Oryzias latipes: one gene and its partners. The main gene of each other region encodes a partner of the protein of the gene in region 2 in a complex. Links are inferred from orthologs where the notes say so. Each region holds a gene or a part of one and is shown on either strand. Other genes may lie near its edges.

Region 1 (4,376 bases), on a different chromosome or scaffold from region 2:
CTGAGCAGGCTGGAGAGCGGGTGAGAGGAGGCACCGTGGCCGCCGCTGTTGGCGCTTCCACCGGTCCCGGACAATCCGCCAGCGGTTTGTCGCTTCCCGGACAAAAGCTTCTCCACCGCCGCCAGGTTTCCCGTACGCGCCGCATCCAGAAGCTCCTGCTCTTTCCCCATTGCTGCTACCAGACGGGGGGAGAAAAAAAAAAAACAGGAGGTGCGGGGAGGAGAAGGAGGGGGGTTGCTTGTAGTAAAATTCCTCTGTGACCCTCTTCTTCTTCTCCCAACCTCAAGTTATTCCTGAGAGCTACTATGCGGCAGGGAACAAAAGCTCCCTCCAACCAGCGGCTCCTTCTGTCCCTCTCCCCGGTGCTGCTGGCGCTCAACGGGCAAAAGTTTCAGTCAGCAGCACGGCACCAACCACCGAGCAAACTTCCTCTGACCAGTCCTCCAAGCGTCGTCCGTCACTTCCTTGAAACTGCCCTTTCTTTCTGCATCTCCAATCCAAAGCTCTTCAGTCAGACACACTCAGATTCCCTACCACCGCCGCCCTTCGCAGATTAATAAAACATATGGACGGGGAAAAGCAACATGGCGCTTGGCAGGATTCTATGAGGACATTGGAGATTGTTTTATTGTTCCGTTACCCCAGTTGGTTTGAAAATCGAGAGCTAATTTTCTAACCGGATAGTGTGCAAATCGCTTACTTTTCAATGAAAAGAAATAGCAATGTGTATATATGAATACATTTAAATGAAATAGACAAATATGTAACCTAATATTTTTTGTTCAAATGAAAATACGACCTTTTCACTACTTTACATTTTTGGAAAATGTCTATTTATTAAAAAAGAAAATTTTTTTAACACTTCACTATTTTTTCAGCTGACCATACAAAATCAAAAACATCATGTTTCCTGTCACATTGTTATTTTAATGTATTGCAATATTTTGTGGAGTTAAAAAAAATTACAGGGACACACGAGTAAGATAAACTATGTTAGAGGTTGCATTGTAAATGATAAATGAACAGCTACAATTATGTAAAATGTAATAATTGTAAGTATTATTTTCTTGACAATATTTGTTGTTGTATTTCCTGCGTAACTTTAGCACAGAGTTTGTTTTTTTTTAACCGTGACAAGGTGGCGTAAAAAAACAATGTTTTGTATGTTCTATTGGTCTTAAAATATTCTAGTTTGGTTTCGTTTTTGCAATTTTCTTCTATTTTGTGTTGAGTTTATACATATATATATATATAGAGAGAGAGAGAGAGAGAGAGAGAGAGAGAGAGAGAGAGAGAGAGAGAGAGAGAGAGAGAGCAATTTGACACATTTTTCATGGACAGTACTAACTTCAACACATTTTGACATAAAAAAAGAAACATTTAACGCCTTGTTAATAAAGTTTATTCAAAACGGAAACGGAAGCACTTGGGTTTTTTTAGGCTATTATTCGATGGTAGATGTTTACCAGGAAAGCTAGCTTATCTTCTTTAGTTTTTTGCCTTTCTATGTAGTACTTATAGTTATTTATCCATTGTTTATGTAGACCTTTTTTCTTTTTGACATAATTACCGGTGTGTGTCGTTTAAGGACCGTAGACTACATTAGTGCACTATAACAGCTAACTATTAGCTGCTAGTGTTGCGGCAAAGGGCTTTGTTGTTGACGTCTCTAGCTAGCTGTAGAGGAACGTGCATGAGATACGCAGTTTTCATCCAGAATTTATTCAAATACGCCGGCTACACAGCTGAAACTAAAGTCTCGTAATAGCTTCTTCGTTGGTGTTTGCAGACTGCTGTTTAGAAACTTAGGTTATGGCAGACCCTGCACGGATAAAGCCGGCAGAAGACAAGTCTGAGAAGGCAGCAGCATCCAAAGGGGAGCCGTGTAAAGAGACGAACATAAAAAATGAAGCCATCGCAAAAGAATCTGCAGACGAAAAGAAAGAGTTGTCCGCACAAGATCCATCCACAAGGGAGGTGAAACATGTGAGTAGAAATGACTGTGTTCAAAAATCCTTTGTGGAAGAAAAAAAATCTAAGCAAAATCTAGATGAGTGGAGAATTATTTAGGTTGTTAGCAGTACAATTGAGGAGAAAGTTACAGTCTAATGCATAGATCTATGGAAGTTTGACATAGACATACAACCAATTCTGGACCAAATCTGTTATCAAAAATTGGGGGGAAACTGATGTAATAAACAATCCACAATATTAATGGTTGTTTAAATATGATACTCGTGTTTTGGTTTTGTGCAGAGAAAAAGAACTTGGTACAATATGTCTTTATTTTCATTTAGAACATTATAGTAATTTTGGAGTCAAATATGTTTGATGCATATTTGAATTAATGGGCTTCAAGGGGTTGAACATTGATTTCCAAGACAATTAAATTGGGACCCAAGGTAAATAACTAGATAAGCCTGAAGAAAAATGTACAAAATCCTGAGTATTTATTAACAATGTTCAAGCAAAATATTTTCATTGAGGAAGTATTTAACTTATGTATTATTTTTATTGTATATACAAAATAAAACTGACTCTTTCTTAGCTTTGACATGCAGTTCATTTTTTAATTATAAAATAACTTTTGATTGACTAAATTTGGTTGAAAAATAAACCCTTCATACTTGATCACATTGGTCTACCATTGCTTTTTTTAAATCCAAGTCTTCTTTTGTTGGGTATGTTAGAGTGTAGCAAACTTACATGTAACGAGCTTCACTTACATCCTCACATTGTATTCTAAATAATTGTGCATTGAACAAACACAACATTAAAAATGGGAAGAAGTACTAAAAATTTAGGAAGGGAAATCCATTAAAGTGTAAGAAGACTTTAATCATGATGGGTTTTTTTTCTGAAAAGGAAGCTGCACCTGGAGATGATGAAGAAGAGGGAACCTCCGGTCAGCCTCCTGCAAAAAGGCTAAAGGTGGAGCCGGATAAGAAAAAGGAGAAAAGGCAGAAAGTTGACGAAGATGAAATACAAAAGATGCAGTAAGACTGCCGTTTTTATTTTTTCCTGAAATATTCCATGGTGCTGTCATCTTTATTAATTTCACCCCGTTTCTTGTTCTTCCTGGATTCTTTTAGAGTTTTGGTGTCTTCTTTTTCTGAAGAGCAACTAAATCGCTATGAAATGTACAGACGCTCTGCCTTCCCCAAGGCGGCCATCAAGAGGGTGAGCTGTCTACAAAAACTAATTCTTTTTCCTCCCAAAAACGTTCTTCTGTCATTCTTGTGGCTTTTTTGGTCGACCTCCAGCTGATCCAGTCAATCACAGGATCGTCAGTTTCCCAGAATGTGGTCATAGCAATGTCTGGTATTGCCAAGGTTTTTGCTGGAGAAATTGTCGAGGAAGGTGAGTGTTTAAGGCAACAAATAGTTTCTAGTATTATGCAGCTTCTATCCATTTTCCTGGAAGCTTAACATTTTTGCGTCTTTTGTTTTTCGATTCACAGCGCTTGATGTTTGTGAGAAGTGGGGGGACACGCCTCCGCTTCAGCCCAAGCACATGAGGGAGGCCGTCCGAAGGCTGAAGAGCAGAGATCAGATTCCCAACACAAAGTATAAGCACATTCTGTTTCACTGAGACCGTTGACCTGTGGGTTAAATGAGGATGCAGGTGATTAAAACAGCCTCAAGAGCCTCTTGTCAAACTCCAGCCACAGAGGCAGGCGGACATTCTTTTTCCAAGGACTAGTTTTTTTGTGTAAATAAAGATTTTACTCTCAAATTTTTTTTGGTACGATTTGGGTTTTAATTTTAAAAAAAAATCCTATGTGGACATAAGCAAAATTGATATTTCAGACGTTTTCTTAGTGTATTAGAGGTTCATGTTTATAAAAGGTTTGATATTATGAAAGGATCTTATAGCATTTACTTTGTTGTTGAATTGGTCATATTTTTTAGGTCTTGTGTTTACGGTCAAATCTGGGTTCAGTCCCCGTCTGAAAAGGAAGTTTCTTCCTTGCTCATCAACTCTTTCCCAATTTTGAGAAAATCAAACGTTTGGCTTTGTTATTTTGGAACATAAAACGTCTTCAATGTGATATTACTTAAGTGCTCACAGAAACATTGACTACCTCTTTGGTATAAACTCACTCGGTGAACAGCAAATCTTTTCTACTGGAAAGAAAAAAACACAGCAACATCAAACTGTGTTCAACAGTTTATTTTTTTACACTTAAAATCTTTACAGCACACTGATTTTGGTTCACAGAACCAGTTAAAGTTTAGTCTCAATGGAAGTGATTCTACCCATAGAAAAGTCAATGTGATTATTTTCTTTTTCTTTTTTAAACCAGCTGACAAAAATACTGTGTACAACATCTGAGTCATCTGATTTTCAAACAAGTGCAGTTTCCAGTGAATTGC
Region 2 (4,583 bases):
TTGAGGCCTTTGACATCAACTCAACCCTTGGTGTTTGGAGGAAGAGAAATGCAGCCTGTGACCACAGGAACACAAACCACACTGTCAAGCATGGAGGTGGGAACATCATGCTTTGGGGGTGTTAATCAGGACAGGGCACAGGGCTACTTCACAGTGTGGATGGGAGGATGAACAGAGCCACGTTCCTTCAAATCCTGAGTGAGAAACTCCTTCTCTCCTTAAGCCAGGAGGCTTAAAATGGGTCGTGCATGGGTCTTCCAACAGGATCATGACCCAAAACAAACAGCCAAGACAACCAAGGAATGGCTAAAGAGGCATATCAAGGTCATGGCGTGGCCCAGCCAGTCTCTGGACCTCAATCCAAAAGAAACCATATGGAGAGAGATGAGTCAGGGTTGCCAAGCTACAGCCACCAAAGATGTAATTTACAAAGAAGAGTGGACCAAAATTTCTCCTGATATGTGCAGAAACCTGATCAACTGAAAGAACTGCCAGACTTCTGTGATTTTTATTAGGGATTTTGCCACAAAAGCACTAAGTCTGTCTGGAAAAAGGGTTCTAATTTCCCTCAATGAAATGCAAATAAATTAATATAAATTCTTTACATCTCAATTTCTTGATTTTCTTTGTGATTTTTATCCCACGGTTCAAATTAACTTTCCATTTGGACTGTCAGTTTTTTAAGTGGGCAACCTACAAAATCAGCAAGAGATCAAATTTCTGCCACTACTTGAAAACCCCAAAATGTAGCTGTAAATATTTGACTGTAATTTTCCAAACAATTGTGACAATTGTAATATTTCTGATGCTTTTTCAAGCCTCAATTCTAGTAGAATTTTACCACAAGGAAAGGGAGTTATTTATACTTGTGAAAAATTGTGTAGTTATTAGTTGGTTATTTAAAAAAATTAAAGAGATTTCATCACCAAAGAAATTCTAATTTTGAGATTTGAAACAAGTTGGGGCCATTCGTTTTTCTGGAAAATATTTGTGGCCTGTTTTTAGATGACATCTTTTTTAGTTTGTATATATTTCACAACTTTTCGAGATTTATAAAACGGTCGAATTGAGAACTCTACATAAACTACAGTTATGTGTTTACGTTCTACACCAAAAATTGGGATTTTTACAAAACTATGCAGCGCCACCGTGTGTCGACACCTAAAAGCTGCATGTACTTACTTTGTGATCGCGCCTTATAAAATGTACGCTTTGAGTTTCTACGAGGTGCTAGTCTACAACATTTTTAAAAGATAACTTTTTAAAATGTGAAACAATAACGTACTGGTCAGTATGATAAATGTGTATTTGCTGAAGAAGGGTTATCATCAGCGAAAGGGCATGCGTGACTCAGCAGTGGGAAGCGAAACTAACCGTTAAAGCTCTGTCAGTTCCAAACATCTAATTAAAGTTATGTTAATCGATAACCGATACATTTAATTACATTTCTGAACACATAAATATAGCCGTTTATGACTTAAAGACGGTAGAAGCCTTTATTGAAACAAGGTCTTCCGCGCATGCTCAAAGCGGTCTTTCAAACACCAAGGAAGCGAAGACAAGCGCTCACTTGTGCGCATGTGCAGATTAGATTTCGGGGATGGGTCTATCGATGGAATCAAGATGGCGGCCCTGGCAAAAGCGCCAATGTATTTACTGAAGTAGATGTAAGATATTAGCGAAGTTCGTGGGTTTTCTCAACCCTCCGTGGGATTCGTTGAAGCATGACGACGGGAGGGATGTCCCTGTTGAGAAATTGACCGGGAATATACCGCAACAAAGTCAGCGAGATGTGCGAGAGCTATGCCCGCTCGCTGCTGCGTGTTTCGGTGGCGCAGATCTGCCAAGCTCTGGGCTGGGATGCAGTCCAGCTCACTGCGTGCGATCTGCTGTCTGATGTGCTGCAGAGGTACATCCAGCAGCTGGCGAGGGTCTGCCACCGATACTCCGAACTGTGTAAGTTCTGTGTTTTGTGTTCGGATTACTTTTAAACCAATAGTAGTAGATCACGTTGTTGTTGACTTGTCCTGTGGCGGGCGCCCCCTAGGAAGAAGTGATGTGTCAAAAAGTACAGTAGCCCCAAACTGTCAGTCATAGCGTCATTCTCACAGCATAACTTTTCACAATGGAGGAGTAGGTTTTACATGACGTCACTGTATTGTCTGATCAACGTTTATATTAGAATTATTTGCAGTATTTCTTGCTGCATGCAGAGTAAGTGTCCTTTTCTACAGTTCGGCAGAATGGGGGTCTCTTTGGTTTGTGACTGTACCCTGTGATCGTGTCTTTCAGATGGAAGAACAGATCCGATGCTGGATGATCTCAGCCAGGCCTTCCGACTCATGGGGGTAAACCTGAGCGAGCTGGAGGACTATGTCCACAATCTGGAGCCCGTGGCGTTTGCCCATCAGACGCCGCTCTTCCCCGTATGCAAAAACAACATGTTGCAGTTTCCTCAGTCTGCAGCCAGAGACGCAGACGAAAGGAAGGATTACATCCCCGATTACATGCCGCCCCTGGTTTCCCTGCAGGAAGGTGAGGTCACCTGTTGGTTTGGATGGCACCGACACGTTTATCAGTGCCTGTAGCGAAAGACATATTGACGTGCAAGTGTGTTACACTGAATCTACTGGAAAGCTGTATAAATGCAGGTCATTAGAATATCAGCCAACATCATATTTTCACAGTCTTTGCAAAATGATGTTTAAAAGTATTCTCCATTTGGTTTGGTTTGTAATTTACTGAGAAACAAAAAGGAAAATGAATGGATTGTGTGTGTGACTGTAAAGCGCTTTGGGCCTTGCAGGTAGAAAAGCGCTATATACGTATACGCCATTTACCAATAACTCAGAAGTGAAAGAGAAGCTAATTTAAATGATCCACTTCCTTTGACCTCATATTTGAACATCATTAAAAAATGCATATAAAACTTTGAAAAACATGAAAAGGTACTTGTATGATCAAAAATATGTCTATTTTCCATAATTCATGTGATGCTCACCATACAAAAAAATCCAAACAGTGCAGTTTCTGTATTTAGATAAGCATTAGTGTTTTATTGATCAGTTATTAATCCGATTTGCTTTTCCTTTATTAAAATGCTAGAAAATTATTTTCCATTTTTTCTTCTATATTTATTTTTTTAATTTTCAAATTGTTCCAGAAAAGTGTGCAGTCAGCCGGAAAAGGGACTTTTCATTTCATCGTGTCTTCCCTGTTTTTGTGGGTGGGACTTAGGCTAATGTCACACTCCTAACAGCAGTTGTGTATAGAAGTTTTCCACAGTTAATGTCAGATGTATTCACCTCATATAAATGGGTATGAAGATGGTGCTAATGGTCAAAAATATATTTTTTTAACATGTATATTCCTTTTCTCATAGTATCTGGTTTCAGAGGGTCAAGCTCTTGTCTCTATGGTTTAGGGTTTTATAGAATCCTCTTCTTTTAAAGGTTTTATTACTGCTATTTGCAACCAGTTTTCTACACTTTAGCATATTTAAAGGATGAACAGCGGGGGAAAAATACACAGGAATACAAAACAGGAAACAGTATGTCAGTGTCATGCTTGATCTCTATCCCAGTCCTTCAGTTTATTCCAGTGTGTTGTTTTTTTCTTCCTTATTAACTATGTAGGATTGTTTTTCAATGAAACGCATCGTTTAAAACATCTAAACATCAGTTTTTTGCCAATAATTTTGGTGTAAATGTTTGCTTTGTTGTAGAAGTTGATGTTGAAGTGTTTGGGCTCATTCTTGCCTCTTTGTTCCCCAGAAGAGGAGGAGGAGGAGGTCCCTCCAGACATGGGCACCTCAGCCGAAGCCATGCAGGTGCCGCTGGAGGAGGATGATGAGGAAATAGATGAAGAAGAGACTGTCAATGATGAAAATTATCCTCTGAAGAGGCATTTGGACAGTCCCGATGCAGCTTTGGGAATCATGCCCACCTCCAAGAAACCGCGCTTGTACCCTGGTCTCAGCCCGGAATGGGGGGCCGAGCCACGGGAGCCTCTCACATCGCTCAACCCGCAACGCGTCCCGCCAGGCGTTCTGCCTTCGCACGACAGCCTCGACCCCCTGTCGCCTGAAATGCCATCTGGTGCCCTGCAGCCCTTCAGACCTCAGCCGATCATACCAAAACAATTTGATCAAAAGAGCCTCGGCACGCCCGGGAAGAAGCCCAAGGTTTCGTCCCCTGGCAGGCAACGGACTAAGTCCCCCAAAGGTCTCCTCCCCGTTCCATTAATTGGTAGTCCCATCCACTCTCCAAAACCGTCAAAGGAAAAGAAGAAGTCTCCTGCTAAGACAAAAAGCCCTAAAAGTCCTAAAAGCCCAAAGATGAGTTCCATCAAAGTGTCTCAGCTTCAGAGCAAAGCAGAGATCCTGCTGAAGCCCCCGCTTCCCGCACTGAACGAGAAGATAGGCAAAGAAAACATTCAAATGCGTCACATTGTAGAGGACAGAGAGCCACCAGAGGGGCTTTTTAAGAACCTCGAGCCCGATAACACGGCCATCGATGACTCTATAGCTGCTGTCATAGCCAGAGCGTGTGCTGAAAGGGAGCCCGACCCCTTCGCCTTCTCCT
Region 3 (4,416 bases), on a different chromosome or scaffold from region 2:
AACAAGAAATAAAACAACCTGTGAAGGATATGTACCGTAATTTCCGGACTATAGAGCGCACCTGATTATAAGCGGCACCCATTACATTTTTAAAGGATAAACCATTTCGTACATACATAAGCCGCACCAGTCTATAAGCCGCATGTGCCCACATTGAAACATGCGTCGTAGAATGAGGATGTGTATGTGCTGAAACCACGAGCGGCGTGTGTAAGAAAGAGGAAGGAGCGCGTACAGCGGAGGAAGGGGAGAGCTAGTGCAGCGCAAGAGGGAGGCTCTCACTCCTGCTCTGTTCGGGCTCCTTCCTCTTACACACACAGTGCGCTGACACACATACTCATTCTACAACACCTATGTAGTGAGTTTATTAGTTAGATAGTTAGTAGTTAGTGTTATTTTTTAATTAAGAATACTGCGTTGTAGTAGGTATTCATTAGCGACGTGGCCGCCAGGGAGATTTTGTGTTTGTTTGTTTGTTTTGTTGTTGTTGTTTTTTTTTTTTGGGGGGGGGGGGGGGGGGGTAAACCGCGACACAGCAACTCCTGCTGCTTCATCACTGCGGTGATCAAAAATCCCACACCGTCACAGCTGTTTTCCAAACAGTGCCTGTGACGCGGCAGGAACACGGCAGCAATATGGTTGTAACAGCACTAACAGAGCTGGTTAAAAAAAAACTACCGGTGAAAGTCACTGAGAGCAGCAGTAACTTATAGGCACACGCCTCCTGTGCTCTGAAACCATTGAGGTCTTCCTCCTCAGTGTCGGATTGGAATAGCATCAGATAGACTTCGCTACACACTCTCTCTGTGTCTCCTTCATTGTCAGTTTGTCCCTCTCATCCTGAGGCAAATTCTCTCCTGTGTTTGCGCTGTCCTCTCCGTCACGCAGCAGACCGGCTTCTCCAAACCCGTTGGTGATGGTATTTTTCACACTGCTTTTAACGATTGCTTTTAACTTGAAAGCTGCGTCATATGCATTTCGTCTTGCATTTTCCATGATGAGGGTCTGTTCGTGCTATTCATTCACAAAGCAGGAATTTACATAAAACTTGCGTCTTTCCTCAAAACATATACCACATTCCCCCTGACTCGCTCCTCCACCCGTTTTGCTCGAGTGGCCGTTAAAAAAAAACGCATGAAAATAAAATAATAAGAAAAAAATGCATAAATTAGAAGCATCATTGAATAAGAATCAGGGTTGAAAGCGTGTGACAAAAGTAGCGGTTTATAATCCGGAAATTATGGGTAATTGTAATACTATAATTGAACCTGCATGTTTAAGCAACACATACACAGTTAAGCATTACACAAGCTCTCTATGCATTTAAATCTAGTTTTTTAGCTGCATATTTAGGATGTATATTTGTTTCTCTCAGAATTCCAGATAAATTCATAAACAAATCAACTCAATCTTTATTTTTAAAAAGTATTTATCGTTCTTCGAGCAGCTCAAAGCACTTTACAATTAATTCCAATTCAAATAAACCCAACCAAATCCCTTTGCTTCCTCTGTTGACAAACACATTAAACCCCAAGCATAACTAATACAGGCATGAAAACATGACTGTTATTGAACACAGATCAGCTAGTATGTAATTTCTTTTTAGCTTTGCACAAAATTAAAAATCTGATTATCTTTAGAATTAATCATGCTACAACTTAGCAGATCACTACTTAAGCATTGATATCACACAAAATATGGACATATTTCTAGTTTCAATCACTTACATTCTTGGGTCAGAAGCCTCAAATCCAGCTCGGTTCAGATAATATCCCGTAACTGCATCAGGAATCTGCAAAAGAAATGGAAAAATACACGAGAGAGACTAAATAATCTAAATATTTTTACATGTAGTTACCCTGCCAGTACGACGTAAACAAAAATACAGCAGTTATCTCGTTTGAGCCAAGGCATCCCCATCACTAACTCAAAGGTAAGGGTGATAAATTTACCGTAGGAGTGTAATCCTCCAGCTGCATGAGGAAATCAGCCAGAGGTGTGGTGGAGACAGCAGGTTTCACATCCCCATTGGTTATGCCAGCGGGAACGTAGACTCCATTGGAGACTGATGAGTCTGCTGATGGAGTTGCCGGGGCTGCTGAAGCTGCAGCTGCAAAGTTGTAATTATCACTTAAATCAAATGTACTTATATTTATATACACACACAACACTTTTTGGGGCGGAGCTTAACTAAAAAATTTAGTTTTATTTTTTTAGCAGAACGAAATGTAAGAAATGCTTAACAGATAAAGAAAAACGTTTGTCGGACAATCCTCCAAATATGCATAAAAGACTCAGGAATGCATCAGTATGTGAATCAAATTGACTTAACTAGCAAAACCACAAATGTCAGATCATCAGATGGGGCATCGTCGTAGCACAACATTGTTAGCACAGATCTTGTTGACCAAAATTATGTTTCGTTACCATTGTTTGTGACCGAAGGAATGCTGCTGACGTTGGTTGTTGCATTGTCATTGGCAATGCAATTACTTGAAGCTGAAGACGTCGTAGACACAACTCCTGTTGTAACAGACGGATTTACGTTGTCTACATTCATGTTTATATTAGCTAAGCGCTAACCTCAAAAAGCTAACTCAGACAGATGTATGGAAATTTGTATCAAAATTTCTATATGGTGCTATATAGCAACACGGCCAGGCGTTTAAAGAGGTACTTTTGTTGATTTAAGAAACTTTTTTTGACTACGAGAACACTAAACACTACAGAAAACTATCAGTTGTTGTTTTTTTATCGTTGCTGTGAAAGCTTAGCCTGTGCTACAGCCGCTGACGTCATGTGACCGCGACAATACGTAGGATTTGATGACGTAAGCCGTATGAACCAACGGCTGGGGTTGCGTTTGAGATTATTTGATAATGCAACAACAGCAACCTCAACAGCGTTTGTAAACGTTCATAGTTTAGCTGTTTTACGATTGAGAAATATTTACAGTTGAACGACAGTTAGAAGATTAAGTCAGATTTAATAACCACGACCGGTGACAAAAAAAGTGCAGCCTTAAAAATAGTGAGATACATGTTAAGATACATTTTAGGTAACATATTAAACTGATTTAACTGGCAATGTGTTATGAACAAAGCACCTGTACTTTTTACGCAGGATGATTTGAATATTAAGGACCTTACCATTGCTAACGTTTATCTTTTTCTTTTTTTTTTTCACAACATAACGCGTTTATGACAGGAAAATTGTAGCTGTTTACGAGGGACATTGAACGCAGCAGATGGACAGCGACCTGACTGGCGCGTGGAGGCTGCAACTATTTACAAAGAAGTAGGCGTTGTGTGACTTTTATCGTCTTTGTGAAGAACATGTTTACTCATTGACCTCCGATGACTTTGCAGTTTCGTCTAGACAAAGCGCGGAGGCAAACAAAAAAGATCCAGCAGGTTTTGATAGTCGTGCTGGAAAAATTAGGTAGACATAACATCCTTTCGTGAAGTGGCGAATCATGTGGTCTTACCGGAAATTATGATGTGGAAATACGCCTTCTCCTATGTGTTGTTGTGTCTGTAAAATAGGATAGTGATTAATAATGGTTTGATCTTTAATACGTTTCTTTTACTATAGAAAACACTGTGCTGTTCGTAACCGGTGGATCTTCCTAGTCAAATGTTTACCATGTTTGATCTTCAGCTGAGTTTTAAAGAATGACTGCCACGGTCCGAGCAATCGTGATTGGAGCTGGTTGTCGGGGAGCGGGTTACTCCGAGTTTGCATTAATCCATCCTGAACGCATGAAGGTATCCTCTCTTTCTCCTCCTTCCCCTGTTTTTAGAGCCTCATTTGACACATATGACAAATAAAAGCATCATAACCAAATACATTTTTTGTAAACACAATTTTAATTGAACTTTTTCGGATCCCTGGCATTAGAAAAATTAAAGGGTATGACTTAGTATTTTGTGTGCAAAAACTATATATATATATATATATATATATATATATATATATATATATATATATATATATATATACATAATTTTAATTAGCATTTTGTAGGGACAAATTGCCCACAAATTTTCTATTTTAGTAGAGGGAATTGATGACAAAAATGTTCATTTGTGTGCACAAATTGTTATTAAAGTCCTAATTTTTGCCAAATGATGTATATTTATATACAGTTTTACTACCTTCCTAAAAAGCCCAAAGCACTATGCAGTCACAGTCCAATTCACCCATGCATACACACATTCACACACTAAATGTGTGCCAGACACTGGCACCAAACTATAACCACTAGGGGTATTGTGCAGGATTTAGTGTCCTGCCCAAGGCACTTCGATACATGGGTGCCCAGGGCAGGATCCTTCAATCAGATGTCGACTGCTCTACCTCTGCAGCATTTGTGCGCACAAAATACTAAATTATTCAGTCCAGGAAACACGTCTT
Region 4 (4,372 bases), on a different chromosome or scaffold from region 2:
TTTGCTGCTGCAATTATTACATTTTCCACTTTTTCTTTCAAATTCTATAGAAATATTGTCCATACTGATGTTTGAGTGTTCCTCCTCACATATATGAGTAAATTCACACCCCAATTTGCTTTATGAAAAAGCCACCTGCCTTCCCTTTCATTAATTGATGGTTCTCTATCCCCACCAACCCTAGAGAAAAGAGGATAATGGTCACTCCCCATGTGCTGTCATGTAAAGCCCACTAACAACACCCTGCCAATACATTCCAAACACAAGTGAGATCTAGTGCTGACATGTTCCCTGTTTGTTCATCTATCCTTGTCCCTCCCCAATCAATGAGACAGACCAAGTATAAATCATCCATCATGTCCTCCAGTACCTCACCATTAGCATCTGTCACCTTCCCCCCCCATAAAGTGCTATTTGCATTAAATCCCCAGATAAGAAGACATGCCCATTTTTCCTTTGAGTTTTTCGTTTATTTTAAGGTTTTTGCTCTGATCGCTTATTTCCCTCTGACTTTTATTTGATCTTTATGTTTTCACTTTTATCCCTCTTTTCATTTGACTATTTTGTTTATGCTCTTGTTGCTTTCTTCTCTTTGGTTTTTCTGTTCTTTATGTTTGTGCTCTGATTGCTTTTTTCCCTTTGAATTATCCGTTGATCTTTCTCTGTTGATCTTTATGCTTTTACTTTGATCCCTTTTGTATTTTTTTCGTTTATCTTTGTGTTTTTTCTTTGATAGCTGTTTAGTTTAGTTTTGCTTTGATTGCTTTTTTAACCGTTGACTCTCTTTGAGCTCTATGTTTTTGCTTTGATCCATCTTTTCCGATTGAATTTCCCTTTTGATCTTTATATTCTTGCTTAGATTAAAATTTTCAGTTGATCTTTTTGTTCTTAATCTGAACGCTTTTTTCTCTTTTTTACTTTTCCTGGGATCTTAATAGTTTTGCTTTGATTGCTTTTTTACCCCATTTGTTTCTTTCTTTGATTTTCATGTTTTCGCTTTGATTCGTTTTTTTTTGTTTGTTTATTCTTTAATCTTTTATATAATTATTTAAAGTTAATTTCAATCACAGAGACAAAAAAAACTAGTTTGATCAGAGGAATTTACCCATTTTAATAAAAAATATTAACAACATTGTAATATCAGCTCAACAAAGGCTGTGTCATCTGATGATCTCATGAGCACAAAAGTAGGAAATTATTAAAACGTTTAGGACCTCAAATGTATTACTTCTAACTAGACCACTATTTTATTTTATTTTGTTTCCTTGTATGGATGTATCATTTTGTGTATTTCTTAAAAAAATGTAGTCTTGAAGAAAAAAATTTGCTCAAGTTTTTATCATATACAGTTCTATCAATTTTGGCCTTAAAAATTGTTTTGATTTTTTTCTAAATCATAGACACAGTTTGAATGATAAAATGTCAATAAAGGTTTATTTAAAAAAAAAAAAACAAGACAAAAAAAAAACCCGGAACCGCACGAGCCGTCCAGGAGGGGGCCGGGCTTCTCACACACATGTCACTCTGAGAACCAATCAGATTTGCTTATCTTGCGCAGTCAGTTCTTCTCGTTTTTCAACCTCGCACATGCGCACTTCATTCTGAAAATGGCGGCCGTGCAGGGTGGAATGGTCGACGAGAAAGAAGAAGTCGACATAAAAACCGAACCGCAGAGCGACGGGCTCATGAACACAAATGCGACCGACGGGCGACAGCTCTCTCCGTCCCCGAGCTCCAGCAGCTCGGCTGGGAGCACCAAAAGTGCGGCTGGGGCGCCGGAGGACCAGCAGACGCTGCTGGCGGTTCTACAGTTCCTGAGAAAGAACAAGCTGACGGAGTCCGTTGAAATTCTGCGGCGTGAGGCGGGACTGCCCGAGGATGCGCTGGACACAAAGGGGGCGGACTGCAGTGCGCCCAGCTCGGGCGGCACCGCTGGCGGCGTGGACGGCCTGGATGCGGGCTCTCTGCTCAGCCGGGTGGCCGTGTCTTCCTCCGCTGGAACTCCGGCGCCGACCAAAGGTATGACGCTCCAAGCGGGACTCAGCCCGTCCACCGGAACTTTGTTCGCTCCTCATAAAGCGCGCGCAACAGTTGTAAAAGAATCGAAAAGACACGTTTAGAAGCTGCAAAAAGAACGTAAATTACACACACTGACAAACAAATGTGGACAAAACTTGATCGCAACATACGTCCCGGGGAAGCAGAGAGGTGGTCAAACTGAGAATCCAAATTAACAAGAACACAAACTAAAACCATGAATCTTTTTAAGTAATAAATATAAATAAGTCTAAATACTTTATACAAATATTTGTGTCTGTCACTGTTCGTTTTGGTCTACAGCTGACCTGATACAGTTTAGTGTTGCACACAAATAATCAGATCAATTGAGGTGATCAGGATCACACACACAGCAGAATATCCTGTGATGAAGTGCTTTAACAAGGTTCACACTTCTCAGTCATCTGACAACTTCCAGCATTTTCACACATTTGATTTTGTCTGTTTTTTACATTCAGAGATGTGGCTACTCAGAAGACAGGACAAAGCCTCATTGTTATTTAATGATAAATAAATGAAGATGGCAAAAGCAGATTTAGCAGATTGAAGAGCTCCAACTTTGAGACTATAGATGGGATTCATTAGATTCCAGAAAACCTGAAGTCTTTATGCACACATGATGTCAACAAACCCTGAGAATGGACTGTAAACCAGGTGATCGTTTTCCTGAAATATGTCAGAGTTGCTATCAGGTAAACGGGTTTGATTCTTAGACATCACCTTCAATTTCAATCCCAGTTTAGATGAGTTCATCCTGGCTTTACCGTTGAAACCAGGTAAGCTGCAGATCCAGCAACAGGTCCATAGTTGAAGGGTCTGTGAGTCTTTCTGGGCTGCTTCGCGGTGGGGGTTCATCACCTCTGGATTCTCTCAGCAGCAGTCGCAGACGATCAGCCCGACGTCAGTGTGGTGCTGTCAGCCTACAGCCAGCAGGGAGACCCGGCTCTCTACAAAGTTTACTACAGCGACCTGAAGAAGTTCATCGAGTCGGTGTTGGACTGCCACCGGGCAGAGCTGTCGCAGGTCTTCTACCCGCTCTTTGTCCACATGTACCTGGAGCTGGTGTACAACAATCATGAGAGTGAAGCCAAGGCCTTCTTTGAAAAGTAAGTCCCTTTAAGGTTTACGTTAAAAAAGTACGCCCTGCTCCGCGCGCCTTCTCGTCACGGCCTCGTCCGCAGGTTCAGCGGGGATCAGGAGTGCTACTACGAAGACGACCTCCGGGTTTTATCCAGCCTCACCAAGAAAGAGCACATGAGAGGCAACGAGACGCTGCTGGACTTCCGCACCAGCAAGTTCGTCCTGCGCATCTCCCGTGACTCCTACCAGCTGCTGAAGAGGCACCTGCAGGAGCGCCAGAACAATCAGATCTGGAACATCATCCAGGAGCACCTGTACATCGACATCTTCGACGGCATGCCCCGCAGCAAGAGCCAGATAGACGCCATGTCAGGCAGCTTAGCAGGAGAGGCCAAGCGGGAGGCCAACAAAGCCAAGGTGAGGGAAGTTCCCGACAGATTTAGCACGTTCCTCTGTAATCCCGTGAGAACAATGCCATCTGTTCTGGCTGCAGGTTTATTATGGGCTGCTGAAAGAACCAGAGATTGAAGTGCCCCTGGATGATGAAGATGAAGAGGCGGAGAACGAAGAGGGCAAGCCGAAGAAGAAGAAGCCAAAGAAGGACAGCATGGGTTCCAAGAGCAAGAAGCAAGATCCCAACGCTCCGTTGCAGAACAGGTGAGGTTCTGCGGTCAGCAGAGCAGAGCTTCTGCATCTTCAGGAGCTTCCGCCACAGGCAGGCTCTTCCTCTTTCTGTGGGAGAGCAGCTTTAACGTTTCCCAGGACGTTTCATCTGCTTCTGGATTATTCTGGTTTGTGTTTGGATGGCTTTAGTTTCTAGAAAAGCCCCGTCAGCTCCGTCCCCCTCTTACTGCTCACGGTGGGGCAAATAAGCTGCTGTTGAGGCGGGAATCCGTCTGAATGGCAGGTGTTACAGGACAGAGCTTAGAAAGTCTGAAAACATCAGTGAAAGCGGGGCTTTTGAGCTCTGAGGGCTTGTTTGGTTCACCTGCAGAGTTTCCCCTGTAGACAGTCTGTCACATGTGCACGTGTCCTGGCTGGACGATGTCACAGCTCCTAAACCGAAAACATTTCTGAAACATCCGTTTGTGCTTATTAGATTTCCAGAGTTTTCTTGCAGTCATTTCCTTTGAAAGTCTTGAGTAATCAACTTTTCATGGTCAGGATACCTCTGCCAGAACTGAAGGACTCTGACAAGCTGGACAAAATCATGTACATGAAGGAATCCACAAAA
Region 5 (3,162 bases), on a different chromosome or scaffold from region 2:
TTTGTAGTGAGGAACAGTCCAGGTTAGCAGCTAGAAAATATGCCCGTGTGGTGCAAAAGCTCGGTTTTCCTGCAAAGTTTTTGGACTTCAAGATTCAAAACATGGTGGGCAGTTGTGATGTCAAGTTTCCCATTCGTCTGGAAGGACTGGTCCTCACACATCAGCAGTTCAGCAGGTAATTTCTCCTTGTTTTACTGCAGATTTAAAGAATCCGTATAAAAATCCCTGAAAGGCTTTTCAAAAATGTGACAGTTTAATCGACTATTGACAGTTATTGATAAGAAAATATGTTGGGACAGCTGTGCTGACACACATGCCAACTTAGGTATTAAACATATATGTTTAACATAAAAGAAAATATTAAGTAAAAAAATAAATCTGAATGGATGACAAATGATATAAATGTACTGAACAAGCACCACAATGATATGTATGCATCAGATTTTATTAATGCTCCAAAACCATCCATTTTTTAAACTGGTTTCCTGCAGTGTCTGTAAATCTGATAAGCAGGTCAGAATTGAACAAAATCCTAAACCACAATCTGACTCACAGACAGAAGTTTGACACTCAGATGGCAAACTATATATTTTTTTTTTATTCTCCTGGTTTTATTTTGCTTTTCTAAAATGAGGTAATATTTGTATTGCAGCTATGAGCCGGAGCTTTTTCCAGGCCTGATTTACAGAATGATCAAACCTAGAATTGTGCTGCTTATCTTTGTTTCTGGGAAGGTGGTACTCACAGGTAAGTTTTCACTAGACTTTTTTGTTTCCTATTGTGAGTAAAACAGGATGTTAACTGTATGTACTTATTGTTTACACTTTTATTTAGCATTTTTCTATTTTTTCTTTGTTCTCCGTGAAGTATTTAGAATTTTGTTGATGTAAAATTGAAGTTCCAAAACAGATTTTTAAATTCTTTTTGATGAGCTTTACCTTCTGTTTTTTAACTTATTGTATTTATTTCTATTTTTAGGTGCCAAGGTGAGAGCAGAAATCTATGAAGCTTTTGAAAACATTTATCCCATCCTGAAAGGATTCCGCAAGACTACGTAGAACTTATAATTCCCTGTTTTCTATCCAAACGCTATAACTTTTTACATTTCTGTCTATTTTTTCTTTAATATTCACTGAGATGTTAACATTTTAATATTGACCTCTTCAAGTTGACAGTAAAGACTTGAATGTGAAAGACTATTTGTCTTTCCCTTAATTTTTTTTTTAACCAAAAAGACATTTTAAAGGTCCTCTGCTCGTTTCCTCATCACAATTGATCTTCACCCGGAACTTTACCTGCTTTTAGCTTTTACATTTTCTTCTCTTCCTCGCTGGCAAGTTTTCTTACATCGAATTGTACGAAAATGTAAAAAGTATTGAAGAAAAAGGCAGGTAGACCGGGACTTTTCCTGGTTTTATTTCAGTGTTTCAGGTTTTGTATATATTGCAAACTGATTTTTTTCTATCTTTACTCGATTTATGAATGATTTCTCCTTATTTTTTGGGTCAACCCCTTGTAAACAATCTTGCCACAAAATCGATTAACTTTTCAAATTTCAAATTAAACTGAAGCCATACTTGTCCCCAGGTTACAGTGAAAGCCCTCATTTTATAACGAATAGAAACCATTTCAATAATTGAGTTATCCGATCCAGACTGTAGTTTGTTCTGCAATAATTTGCCTTTACCAGTCAAAGTCACCCCATGTTTCCATCATTGCTTGAAGCTTTTTATTTTTTATGAAGAAACTGAGCATAATTGTGATATCAGATGTGCTTTATTGTAAAACTTGTACAAATGTATATAACTTATTTTCAATTATTAGTCATTCAAAGTTGATAGGATGTTCCAAAAAGCTTAAAGCAAACAGGAAACTTGGAAAAATGATGTTAACAGGCATTCAAAACAATAATGTTCATTAGTCTGTCTTCAATTTAAATGCACCAAGACAAAGGAGTTTGTTTTTTTCTATAAATCTCTGCAGAGAGTGAGTTAACAGTGTAAATGCTCCTGCTTGTCCTGGTTTTTTTTCTTTCTTTCTTTTTGCAAAACTTTGTTTAGAAAAGTACTTATCACTTTTTGATTTGAGTTTCTGGCACTTGTTGATTTCATTTTCTCGTTAACCAACCTAAGGATTACCTTTCAGAAGCCAAACTTTTAAAATAAGTTTCAACTTAACGTCTGTTCCACTTATTATGGATGTTGTCACCAGAAATCCATTTTCCATTTGGATACCTGTTCCTCCACAACTGTTAGAGCTGTACTGTGCGTTAATAAACGTGTTCATACATCCTGTTCATAAAGCAGAGTTTTGTCTTTGTAACATCTGAGGTTTTTTTTACTTTAAGCAGTGTGTTTGCCACAGACTCATTTATTTATCTGAAACTATCTGGAGGAAATTTTTTGAAGTAAAAAAAACCCCTTCAATTTCTTCAAGTCTAGAAAAGAAACTTGAATCGGTCACATTGGGTGGAAACCTATAGAGTTCATAGGTCATCAGATCCATGACATTCAGTAGTTTTTATACAGTTTTCTGTAAGTATTGTTAAATTGAACACTTTGAAATTTGAGTAACATGGTGGTTCAACAGCACAATATGTAAGGTAAAAGAACCAATGGTTTTCTCTTAGTTCTATTTATAAGCAGTAAAACAGCTGCTGTTATTGGAGATGCATCTGAATGAACGGCCCAAACTGGTCTGTAGTGGCACATGACTTGTATTGGCTAATAAGGTCACGTTTAAAGTTTACTCGGTTGAAGTTGTCATTTCGTGAATTTGAAGATGTTTCCAAACTTTTCCGTTTTGGTGTTTGTTGTATTTGTGGTTTTTGGATTTGTGACAAATTTTCTCCTCAAACATCTAGGTTTTCCATCTTTCAGATAAAGACTGCTTTTCCAAAAAGGTTTATGTTGTAAAAAAAATTTTTTTTTACATTTAGTTTCTCTGTAGTAAAAATAAACTTGTAAAAGCATTTTTCACACACTAATTGCTTTACGGTTCAGCTTAGTTAAAAAAGAAAAAGAACTACAAAACAAGATAAGTAGGCCATCGTAGGACTGTAGGTGGTATGGTATCTTTAAGTCAGGCACCAGAAATGAGTGAAGTTTAAGGTTTGGCTCTCATGGCATGCACATGTGTGTTGAAGAGCAGCTAAAAAAACCT
Region 6 (4,656 bases), on a different chromosome or scaffold from region 2:
TCAGAAATCTTTTACATCACATGATCTTAATTTGGAATATTGACCAACAGAGTCTTTTGTAAGCAGGGACAAAAGTAAAATAAGTATCAGGTAAAAAGTAATAAGTATAAGTAACCAATGGAAATGGCTTTTGACTCTTCTCGTACCTCTGTGATGACGCCTCCTCTGTAGCCTTTTGAAACATACTGATGGTGCTTTCCATATCTGCTGGCTTGGACTTATACTGTGCAGCTGACTCAATACTTTGCTGTCTCTTCATAGTTTTAAGCTTTCTTTTATTGGTCACTTCTACTTTCATGGCTCCAAGTAGGTCCAGGAGGTTTTCTTTCTCACTCTTTCCTGTATCCACTTTAGGCTGTTGTGATTTTGCCAGAAGCTGTTTAGAGTTATCATCTGCCTGACGGTCTGCGGTCCCTCTGTCTTCAGTCTTTAACACGCGTTGCTCCTCCTTCTGTTCCGGCAGTTTCGTTTGGCTATCTATAGATGTGCCAGCATTGTCTTTTTTTTCACACAATCTGACTGAATTTGTGCAGAAAGTCTTCAATCCAACTTTGTTTAAGGTTCTGTAGAAATATAAATACCAAAGTGCAGTTAATGCATCTTAAAATAGGAATGACAGGAATGCATAAAAAATCAAATATGATGGAATGTTAGCATACTTTTCTACTTTACATTAGAAATATTTGTTATGGTGAATCACTTCACACGTACAATCATAGCTATAAAGAACTCTTCTCCAACTTAAGGATGGGAAAAGGATTTGAGCTTATTGTGAAGCCACTTGTATCTCAGAAACATTGATATAATTTTGTCACCAGAAACAAAATTTTTCAAAAGTCAAATATGAGTTCAATGGTCTTTTGAAAATTGGTCTTTTGAAAATTGACAACAATTTGGGTTAGATCTAGGACTTGATACGGGGAGATTTGAAAAGCTGCAAGCTAAAAATAAGTCATTTTTGGACACTTATGACATGTGGGCTTTCGTTTGAAAAGATAATGTTTGGTTACAGTTCTAATTCAATTTTGGTTATTATAAATACAAAAAAGCACAGCATGTCGTTTAGCATTTAAATAAAGTAGTGGTTTTGAATTCAAACAAATTTAAGTCTAGAATTTCACACAGTCCGGCAAGTTAAAACACAAATGTCCTTCCGGGGATCGAAAAAGCCAAGAAATAAGAAGCAACATAATCAGTTTTTTAAGGGTCAAGATTTTCTTTTAACACAAGTATTACCACATTTGTTGTGGCTCAACGATATCATGCTATTATTATCGGGAGTACTCCTATTCCTCACCTGAAAACATTATCACAGTTACTTGATAAAAAGGACTCGTGAACGTACAGTACACGATTTCGTGCCACAATCGTTGTCCGGGATATAAATTGGTTCATATTTGTTTCTTGAAATGTCCTTTCACGTTTGGAGCTTTCATCCGTGGTAACGAGAAAAAGTCACCCGGAAAACATTACTCCAAACACTAGTTCCGTATGAACGTTAATTCGAGCAAAAGCTATCTTGCTAGAAAATTTGATTTTCATAATTTTGCCATTTTAAGCTATGAGCGTCACATTAATTAAAATGTACAAATGTAAAACGTGTTTCAATAATAAGATACCTATTTTAAAATAACAAGTCTCCTGATTGTTGTGTCCACAACTCTCGCGATATTTCGTCCGCAACGTGACTCAAAATGGCGATGGAACATTAGCGCTAATTTACAGACGGATGGCTCTGCTTCAGCCAGGAAATAAGTTTTGTTATTTACATTGAGAAATGGGGATTTGCAAGGAAAAAACGGGGTTACGCTATTGTCAGTGTTGTAAATACTGATAGTGTTCATTTGTGGAAATCCTGGCCATAACTCAGAAGAGGAAGGACAACTTCTTACAGGTATAAACGTCAAAAAGAAGCTAAGTTGTTAGCATATAAGCTAACTTGCATTAAATTTAGCGCTCGTTTGTAAATGCACATCTTAAACAATGTGCAGCTGACAGTGATCCTAAAATTGGAAGAACTTTTATTTACTTTTAACTGCAATTGCGTTTAGGAAATCCCCCGTTTTAGTTCCGTCGGGGGGTTAACCCGCTCTCTGTGGAGGAGCGGTCTGTTTGTGTTTGTAATGTATGAAATCATTTTTATGAACCGATTATCATTTTAGCCGATTGGCCTTTTTCTTGTTGCTTTTTAGGTGAGAGATAACTCTTAACACGAATGAACCTTGTGAGACGGTACATAAGAATCGGGACATCTGTTTTATCCAAATAGTGAAGACCGCCTTTAGCTTACTCATTTGAACATCGAGTTCTTAGCAGCATTGATTGTTCAACGTCTGACACAAAAAAGTAACCGGACCTTCAAAACTACGTCTAAACGCATAGCTATTTGAGTATTTTTTACTTTTTCGTAGCCCGATTATATTTTTGGCTTTTGGCGCTAATGTCTGTGTTCTACTAGGGGATCATTGAGATCTTTGACAGCGTTAAAGATACAGTCACGGGAATAATAATAATGTGCTTCAATCATCATTGATTTTCGATGTCATTTCCAAAGAGTGTATTTCAAAGCACTTGAATTGACTATTTTTGAAATATTTCATCAGACAGGTCCCCCAATACATATTTTAGCAGTTTTGTTTACAGTGAGGCGTTTAAATTAAAAAGAAAATAATAGAAAGTAATAAACAACAAAACGTTCAAAAAGCGCAACTCATATTTGGCTAGAAAAAACAAAGATCACACATTTTAAGTGAAACTGCGTTTTAAAGATAATAGATATAGATGCTTATTATTGAAAAGCTTTAAATTAAAGCAATTACAACAAACAAAATAAAGACTTATTGAATTAATTGTAATAATTTCGGCAGATATGTTTATCAAAACGATTGATCCAGTTGTGGGGGGTTTTGGGGATTGAAAAAAAATGTTTTTTGGTCAAATATGTCTTGTTTTCTCTCAAGTGCCATCAAATACCACCGGGGTTCTCATAACCTTGCTAGAAAACTACTTTTCTACATACCATACTTGACACAGATATTCTCACTTCCTGCAGTCTTTCTTTCTTTTTTGGTTTCTTGTTTCACTGTAGGAAACTTTTATTACTGTGGTTTAACTTGCAGTTTATACAGTTCTTTGACTGTTAGCATGCTGGATGCTCACAACACTAGTCTTTCTAGGCTAAAGTAAAGGTGTGATGTTTTCATTAAATGAAGATAAGGTCCACGAACATATTTCCTTCTTTTTTCTTTTTCTTCGAGATATAAAATTTTTTTTTCCTAGTGTCTCATTTATAACAAATAATGCCGTAACAATAAGATGGAGAATGAAAAATATAATTTTAGACTTCTATAAGCTCCAGTTTGTGTCTGGTTTCAGTTTACAATGAAACTTTTTGTATGGCCCTGCTTTGTGTTGACAGCCATGGCGGAGGAGCGTCGGCAGAAGCAGTGCTCGGTCACCCTTCCCACCGAGTCCATGAAGGCCATGGCAGAGTCTGTTGGGGTGGGGCAGTTACAAGAGGAAAGCTGCGTCGCCCTGAGTGAGGAGGTCAGCTACAGAATCAAAGAAATCGCGCAGGTAAGAGCTCTGATGGTTTATGGAATATGTGAAGCCGCATACAATCCCTTATTCTGTCTCTTTTTGCACAGGATGCTTTGAAATTCATGCATCATGGGAAAAGACGTAAATTAACTACCAGTGATATAGATAATGCCCTCAAGCTGAAAAATGTGGAGGTAAGGTTTAAATATTTTGGAACACATCCATATTTATCAAGTTTTGGGAAACCCTGTTTGTTTTATATTCTGTGCTCTAATTAAAGTCTCTTTTATAGCCTCTGTATGGATTCCAGTCTCAGGAGTTCATTCCTTTTCGCTTTGCAAGTGGTGGAGGGAGAGAGCTTCACTTTTATGAAGAAAAGGAGGTCGACCTCAGTGACATTATTAACACACCCCTCCCCAGAGTTCCACTAGATGTCTCTCTCAAAGGTAGAGCGACCGTTACAACCTTTTAAAATCACAGTTTTTAATCTTTTAAACGATTTATCTGAAAGTTCATGGTTTGTTCTCTTTTGGAAACTCACAGCCCACTGGTTAAGTATTGAAGGAGTTCAACCCTCAATTCCAGAAAATCCCCCTCCAGGTTCGTCCTGTTCTAACCGTCTCCCCCAAAGGAAATTGAATGCTTTAAGGACAAAAATGACAACCTTTTATGTTGTTTACACTTTTTTAGCAACAAAAGAACAACAAAAGACAGAGTCCACGGAACCCCTTAAAGTGGTCAAACCAGGTCAGGAGGAGGAAGGGGCGATTCAAGGCAAAGGTCAGGGTGCAACAGCTCCTGACGGCAAAGGTCGGTATCAATTATTTCATTTTGTTCCAATTTTTCTTTTTGCTTCTCTTCACCAATAAGAAAGGGTTAATAATTTGGGTTATTCCTGTTTTAACGTGTGTTTCAGGAAAAGAGAAAGGTTCGATCAGGTTGAAACCACGCAGCACTCATGAGCTGTCTGTAGAACAGCAGCTGTACTACAAGGAGATCACAGAAGCCTGTGTTGGCTCCTGTGAGGCAAAGCGAGCAGTAAGTCCTGCAGATGTTGGTATAGATGTTTTATAGTAAAAGCAAAAAAGCTCCAATATTCCCCCATACTGGTAAAAT
Region 7 (4,517 bases), on a different chromosome or scaffold from region 2:
ACATTCAAATAAAAAAAATTGCACAGCCTAGAAGTGATGTACACATGTTGGATTTCTGAATCACGGTTTGTCCTAATGCCATATTTGGACCAAACTGATGTAAAAATTATGCACATTTTCTGAGATATTCTAACATTTTCAATTGCCCTATATTTCCACTCTAAAAAAATTCCATAGGCGCATTGGGAACATTGTGGATTATTACAAGTCATAAACACATCCAGCATGAGTCATGGGTTCTGGCACGTTGTTATATGTTTATTGGATCTGTTGGGCAACAAATGATGTCACATACTCACTATAAGGAAAAAAACTGTCTCACTCCTTGTCCCACAAACTCCTGCACTTTAACCCAAAACAAGTGGTAATCTATAAAAAACAGAACAGTACACTCATGAATATGCATGAGTGTCCTCCACTGTGGGGGTTGGCTTCTTTCTGCTGTCCTTAAATTGAGATGTCTGCCCAAGTGTACAATGATTGTCCTCAATACACAGAGAAAAGTGAACTCTTTGGCATCCCCTTTAAGGTGAGCCCTGGCAAAAAAAGGACTTTGATTCCATATGAAGTTAAAAAACTGACCAAAATGTTCCTTTTTCTTTCTGCAGAGCCATCATGGAAAACAGTGGAGACATTGTACCATTTATGAAGGAGGTTCTGAAGGAGGGGCCCAGCAGGAACATGGTGAAGATCTACGCGCTGGGCTCTGCTCTGACCCTGCTGGGAATGGTCGGCGGAATGGTGGAAATGATTCTCCTGCCCTTTTCTGGGGACAGCCCTGCTGATGGCAAACAGACTGCTGAGCTTTTCATGGACAAGAAGAGAAGGGAGAGGCTGCTGCTGAAATCCCACCATGTCCAGATCCCCACTGAAGCTGAGGACATACTGAGCGTGGTGGTGCCTGAGGTCAAGCCCAAACATCTGGGCATGGTCACAAGGAGAAGCTCGGCCACTCGCCTGCATGCTTCCTAAAAAGACTTTCTCACTTTAACGGAAATGGACAATGGCAGACCTTTTTATTTTTATGAATTTCTAATTTATTTTAGTTTTGGTAAAAATGTTTTCTGCCCCTTTTTTTAACAGAATGTCAGATGTGGTGATACACTAAAAACTGCAGGACACAGTGACCTCAGGCTGCTGGGCAGCAGATTCTAATATGGATCAAATACCATGGGAAGGAAAGGGGAATTGTGCAATTCAATTTATTGTGTGTTTTAATAAAAATGGTGTTGTGCTAACCACTGGTACTCAGATTATAGGAAAATAGTGTCTACTTAAAGAGGCACATTTGCTGCTCCTGCACTGAAAAATCGTGAGAAATTGAACAAAACTTTTTTCTTTTAGTCTTGCTTTGATGGCATCAAGTATTTGGTGATTGAGGTACTTAATAGATGTCTGTGCAACAAGCCTGAATTAAAATGGGTTTTTTAATTGAAAATCACAATATTTTCTCTCTTTATTTTTTCAATTTTTTGGAAAAAAATATAACATTTATTCAGGATAACTTAACACTTTCAAAAAAAAAGTCAGATATTTGAATGCATTTTATGTTGTTTTTGTCATGAAGCCGTTTCTTTTCTTCCATCTGCCAGTGGATAAAAATGACAATGTAAACAATCGCAGTACTGTAGACGGACGTTAGGGGGCAGTGTCGGCTAAACTCAAGACATTCACAATCGTTTCCGTCTGAATGACGGAAGTGTCGTCATACATGGACAACTTATTTACTAGCGGTGGCTTATCGTGTCTAAGCGAATAAATCTGTTTAATTTAAAAAATTCACACCTAAAAAGGAGACATTTTTGAAGTTATTTCCAATGGCAGATCCCGCCGTGACGCCGGGAGGCGCGTTAAACTCCAGCGGGGTAAGAAAAGCGTTTGTGTTTGTCGTAAATGCTGCAGGTTTGCATCGGAAAGCTTGCTAGCAGCCACATCTGGATGCGGAAAGGTTTCATCGTTGATTTTGGGTTAAATGGCAACAAGTACGATTATACTCCACTTTGTTTTGAACGACTAGCTGAGCTAGCTTTAGTGTTTTTGTGCAACATGCTCTGTAAATGATTCTCTTCATGTTGAGACTATTGTTTCGGACGGAGTATATCTATGCTAACTAAGCCGACTATTCTTGATGATGAGGTTTTTAGTTTTCTGAACCTCCTGAAGGTTGCAACTCTCTTTAATACCTCCGAGCCCTCCTGGACTCTTTAGTACTGCCCTAACAGCAATTCAAAATATAAATTCACCCTTATTTATAGAGCGCTTTTCCTGCTACAGAACACCTCGATGTGCTTTATACAAAGAAAAAAATGTATAATGGTAATCATTAACATAAATTGCATGGTGGCGCAGTGGTTAGGACTCTTGCGCCCTGGTTCAAGTCCCGGCTGTGGGAACCTGAAACAGAACGGGACCTTTCTGCTTGGAGTTCGCATGTTCTCCCCGTCCATGAGTGGGTTTTCTCCGGGGACTCCAGCTTCCTCCTGGCGACCTGTGCAGGATGTTCCCTACCTTCGCCAACGAGTGGCCGGGATGGGCTCTGTAGCCCCGTGACTCCGAAAGGGTCTTAACGGGTTTAGAAGATGAAATGAAATTAGCATTAACATAATAAATATTGATTAACACATACACAATCTACAAGTCTCCAAAATAAAAAATAAAATATGAGGAAATGTACCAAACTCCTTGGAAAGCTACACAGATAAGTTTTGAGTTCTGTCTTAAGCCTCTACATTGGATGAAGCCCTCACATCCACAGTGCTGAAATGTGGCCTCGCTTTCTGTTCTGACCTTTGGGACCATCAGCAGACCTGCACCTAAGGTCTCTGAGAGGGTCATCAACTAAAAGCAGTTCTGATTAAAACTGAAGTTCCATTTTTTTATTAGCATGAGACTTGTAGAAACTAACAAAAGAACCTTAAAATGGATCTTTATGCTCCCTGGGAGCCAGTGCAAGATTTCAACATTTCAGTAATGTGCTCCTTCTTTCTGACTCTGCTTAAGAGGTGCACAGTTGAGTTTAGAACAAGCTGCAGCCAATAAAGATAAAGATAATCTATTTTAGATGTTAAAAAAGTGTGGATTCATATTTCAGTGCTGGCTTTGGAGAGAAAGGGTCTCACTCAGACAATATTTCTAAGATGAAAAAATGCAGTCTGCATCAAAAATCCCACCAAGATTTCTGAGTTTATAAGTAATGGGTTTATAAGGAAAAATGGACCCTCTCTTCTCAGCTTCAGGGCCAAGATTTAAGAAATGTCTGTTTTGTCTGTATTGAGCTTTAAGAAAGTTCTCTCCAATCCAAGTTTCAACATCTAAAAAACAACTTAAAAGGTCATCAGTGGGTCCCAAGTCATCAAGTGTCTCCTGATGACATCACCAAGTTGAAGCATGTACAGGTTAAAAAGTGTAGAACCAAGGACGGAGCCTTGTGGCATCCCACATGTCAGTCTGTGTTATGACGCATCATTTACATCAACATTAAAATCTCTTCCTGTGAAATGAAATTCAAAACGTCTGGAGACCGTTTCAGTGATAACATCTGCATAAGTATTTCTTAGGAACTGTAAACACAAGCAGCTGCTGCAGATTTTTTTCATTGTTGTGTTTATGATAAACGAACAAGTTTTACTTTAGATTTGAGCTGCTGTTTTGTAGACACTACAGAGGAAGGAAACTGACACGTCACACAGTGAAGATATGTGCAGGGCGCTGAAAGCTAGGCTGAAAGGAACATTGGTGAGCAACAGTATGGTTTCATGCAAAGGCTGAGAACCACAGATCCAACATTTGCTTTTAGGACGCTTCTGGAGAGGAACAGAGAAGGTCAGAAGGAGCTGCATTGTGTCTTTGTAGATCTAGAGAAAATGTATGACAGAAAACAGAGAAAGGAGCTGCGGTCTGGATGAGGAGTCTGGAGGAACAGAAGAACGTTGGAATTATGCAGGATATGGATGAGAGCTGGAAGACGTTGGTAAAAAATGTTCTGTAGGCACGACAGAGGAGTTCAAGGTGGAGGTGGGACTGCACCAGGGATCATCTTCGAGCACCCTCTTGTTTCCATGGTGATGGACAGTCTTGACGGATGAGGTTGGACAGGAATCTGTGTGGATCATGATGTTTGCAGATGACATTATGATCTATAGTGAGAGGTAGCAGGCGGAGGTTTCCTCTGGAAATGAGATGAATGAAGGAGCGGAATTCGAGTGGAACAGGGAGTAAAGGTGGAGGACTTTAAGTTCTTTGGGTCAAACAGTCCAGATCAACAGAGAGTGTGGGAAGGAAACGAAGAGCTCCCTCTTCATCTCTTCCCCTTGGAACCTCCCATTCCAAGGAGGTTAAGACAGGTGAAGGAAGGTTTCAGGTGTGACAAGATTGTTAGCAAGAACGAAAGGAAAGGTGTATAAGTCTGTGTTATGATCGAATAGATATCTTTGTCTTGCATCTAAATAGTCTGCATACTTTTTTTTTTCTTTTAGCGAGGGTCTGGAGCCAAAGCAGCTTCAAGCCCTGCAGAGAAC

The links.
Region 1: taf3 (region 2) and taf11 share a complex: the UniProt entries of both Homo sapiens proteins name them as parts of the TFIID basal transcription factor complex. The link is inferred for Oryzias latipes from reciprocal best matches to the Homo sapiens genes TAF3 and TAF11.
Region 3: taf3 (region 2) and taf10 share a complex: the UniProt entries of both Homo sapiens proteins name them as parts of the TFIID basal transcription factor complex. The link is inferred for Oryzias latipes from reciprocal best matches to the Homo sapiens genes TAF3 and TAF10.
Region 4: taf3 (region 2) and taf5 share a complex: the UniProt entries of both Homo sapiens proteins name them as parts of the TFIID basal transcription factor complex. The link is inferred for Oryzias latipes from reciprocal best matches to the Homo sapiens genes TAF3 and TAF5.
Region 5: taf3 (region 2) and tbp share a complex: the UniProt entries of both Homo sapiens proteins name them as parts of the TFIID basal transcription factor complex. The link is inferred for Oryzias latipes from reciprocal best matches to the Homo sapiens genes TAF3 and TBP.
Region 6: taf3 (region 2) and taf6 share a complex: the UniProt entries of both Homo sapiens proteins name them as parts of the TFIID basal transcription factor complex. The link is inferred for Oryzias latipes from reciprocal best matches to the Homo sapiens genes TAF3 and TAF6.
Region 7: taf3 (region 2) and taf8 share a complex: the UniProt entries of both Homo sapiens proteins name them as parts of the TFIID basal transcription factor complex. The link is inferred for Oryzias latipes from reciprocal best matches to the Homo sapiens genes TAF3 and TAF8.

Annotation. Positions count from the first base shown.
Region 1 is NC_019865.2:19,681,418-19,685,793, forward strand, and holds taf11 (transcription initiation factor TFIID subunit 11), read left to right. Parts: upstream 1-1,424; 5' UTR 1,425-1,812; coding exon 1,813-1,986; intron 1,987-2,865; coding exon 2,866-2,996; intron 2,997-3,092; coding exon 3,093-3,180; intron 3,181-3,263; coding exon 3,264-3,360; intron 3,361-3,460; coding exon 3,461-3,591; 3' UTR 3,592-3,739; downstream 3,740-4,376. Other genes in the region: anks1a (ankyrin repeat and SAM domain-containing protein 1A), read right to left, coding at 1-170. UniProt on the Homo sapiens protein: The TFIID basal transcription factor complex plays a major role in the initiation of RNA polymerase II (Pol II)-dependent transcription.
Region 2 is NC_019864.2:13,576,258-13,580,840, forward strand, and holds the start of taf3 (transcription initiation factor TFIID subunit 3), read left to right. Parts: upstream 1-1,582; 5' UTR 1,583-1,790; coding exon 1,791-1,956; intron 1,957-2,292; coding exon 2,293-2,535; intron 2,536-3,773; coding exon 3,774-4,583. UniProt on the Homo sapiens protein: The TFIID basal transcription factor complex plays a major role in the initiation of RNA polymerase II (Pol II)-dependent transcription.
Region 3 is NC_019865.2:7,762,153-7,766,568, reverse strand, and holds the start of taf10 (transcription initiation factor TFIID subunit 10), read right to left. Parts: upstream 2,811-4,416; 5' UTR 2,561-2,810; coding exon 2,428-2,560; intron 2,111-2,427; coding exon 1,953-2,110; intron 1,793-1,952; coding exon 1,728-1,792; intron 1-1,727. Other genes in the region: uncharacterized protein LOC101174996, read left to right, coding at 3,675-3,767. UniProt on the Homo sapiens protein: The TFIID basal transcription factor complex plays a major role in the initiation of RNA polymerase II (Pol II)-dependent transcription.
Region 4 is NC_019859.2:29,661,301-29,665,672, forward strand, and holds the start of taf5 (transcription initiation factor TFIID subunit 5), read left to right. Parts: upstream 1-1,463; 5' UTR 1,464-1,607; coding exon 1,608-2,019; intron 2,020-2,932; coding exon 2,933-3,164; intron 3,165-3,239; coding exon 3,240-3,555; intron 3,556-3,631; coding exon 3,632-3,795; intron 3,796-4,302; coding exon 4,303-4,372. UniProt on the Homo sapiens protein: The TFIID basal transcription factor complex plays a major role in the initiation of RNA polymerase II (Pol II)-dependent transcription.
Region 5 is NC_019861.2:24,478,561-24,481,722, reverse strand, and holds the end of tbp (TATA-box-binding protein), read left to right. Parts: intron 1-7; coding exon 8-175; intron 176-652; coding exon 653-747; intron 748-978; coding exon 979-1,058; 3' UTR 1,059-2,302; downstream 2,303-3,162. UniProt on the Homo sapiens protein: The TFIID basal transcription factor complex plays a major role in the initiation of RNA polymerase II (Pol II)-dependent transcription.
Region 6 is NC_019872.2:15,547,719-15,552,374, forward strand, and holds the start of taf6 (transcription initiation factor TFIID subunit 6), read left to right. Parts: upstream 1-1,691; 5' UTR 1,692-1,894; intron 1,895-3,418; 5' UTR 3,419-3,420; coding exon 3,421-3,576; intron 3,577-3,647; coding exon 3,648-3,734; intron 3,735-3,832; coding exon 3,833-3,986; intron 3,987-4,083; coding exon 4,084-4,140; intron 4,141-4,230; coding exon 4,231-4,350; intron 4,351-4,456; coding exon 4,457-4,578; intron 4,579-4,656. Other genes in the region: mrps31 (28S ribosomal protein S31, mitochondrial), read right to left, coding at 147-563, 1,298-1,395. UniProt on the Homo sapiens protein: The TFIID basal transcription factor complex plays a major role in the initiation of RNA polymerase II (Pol II)-dependent transcription.
Region 7 is NC_019865.2:25,322,206-25,326,722, forward strand, and holds the start of taf8 (transcription initiation factor TFIID subunit 8), read left to right. Parts: upstream 1-1,677; 5' UTR 1,678-1,817; coding exon 1,818-1,865; intron 1,866-4,475; coding exon 4,476-4,517. UniProt on the Homo sapiens protein: The TFIID basal transcription factor complex plays a major role in the initiation of RNA polymerase II (Pol II)-dependent transcription.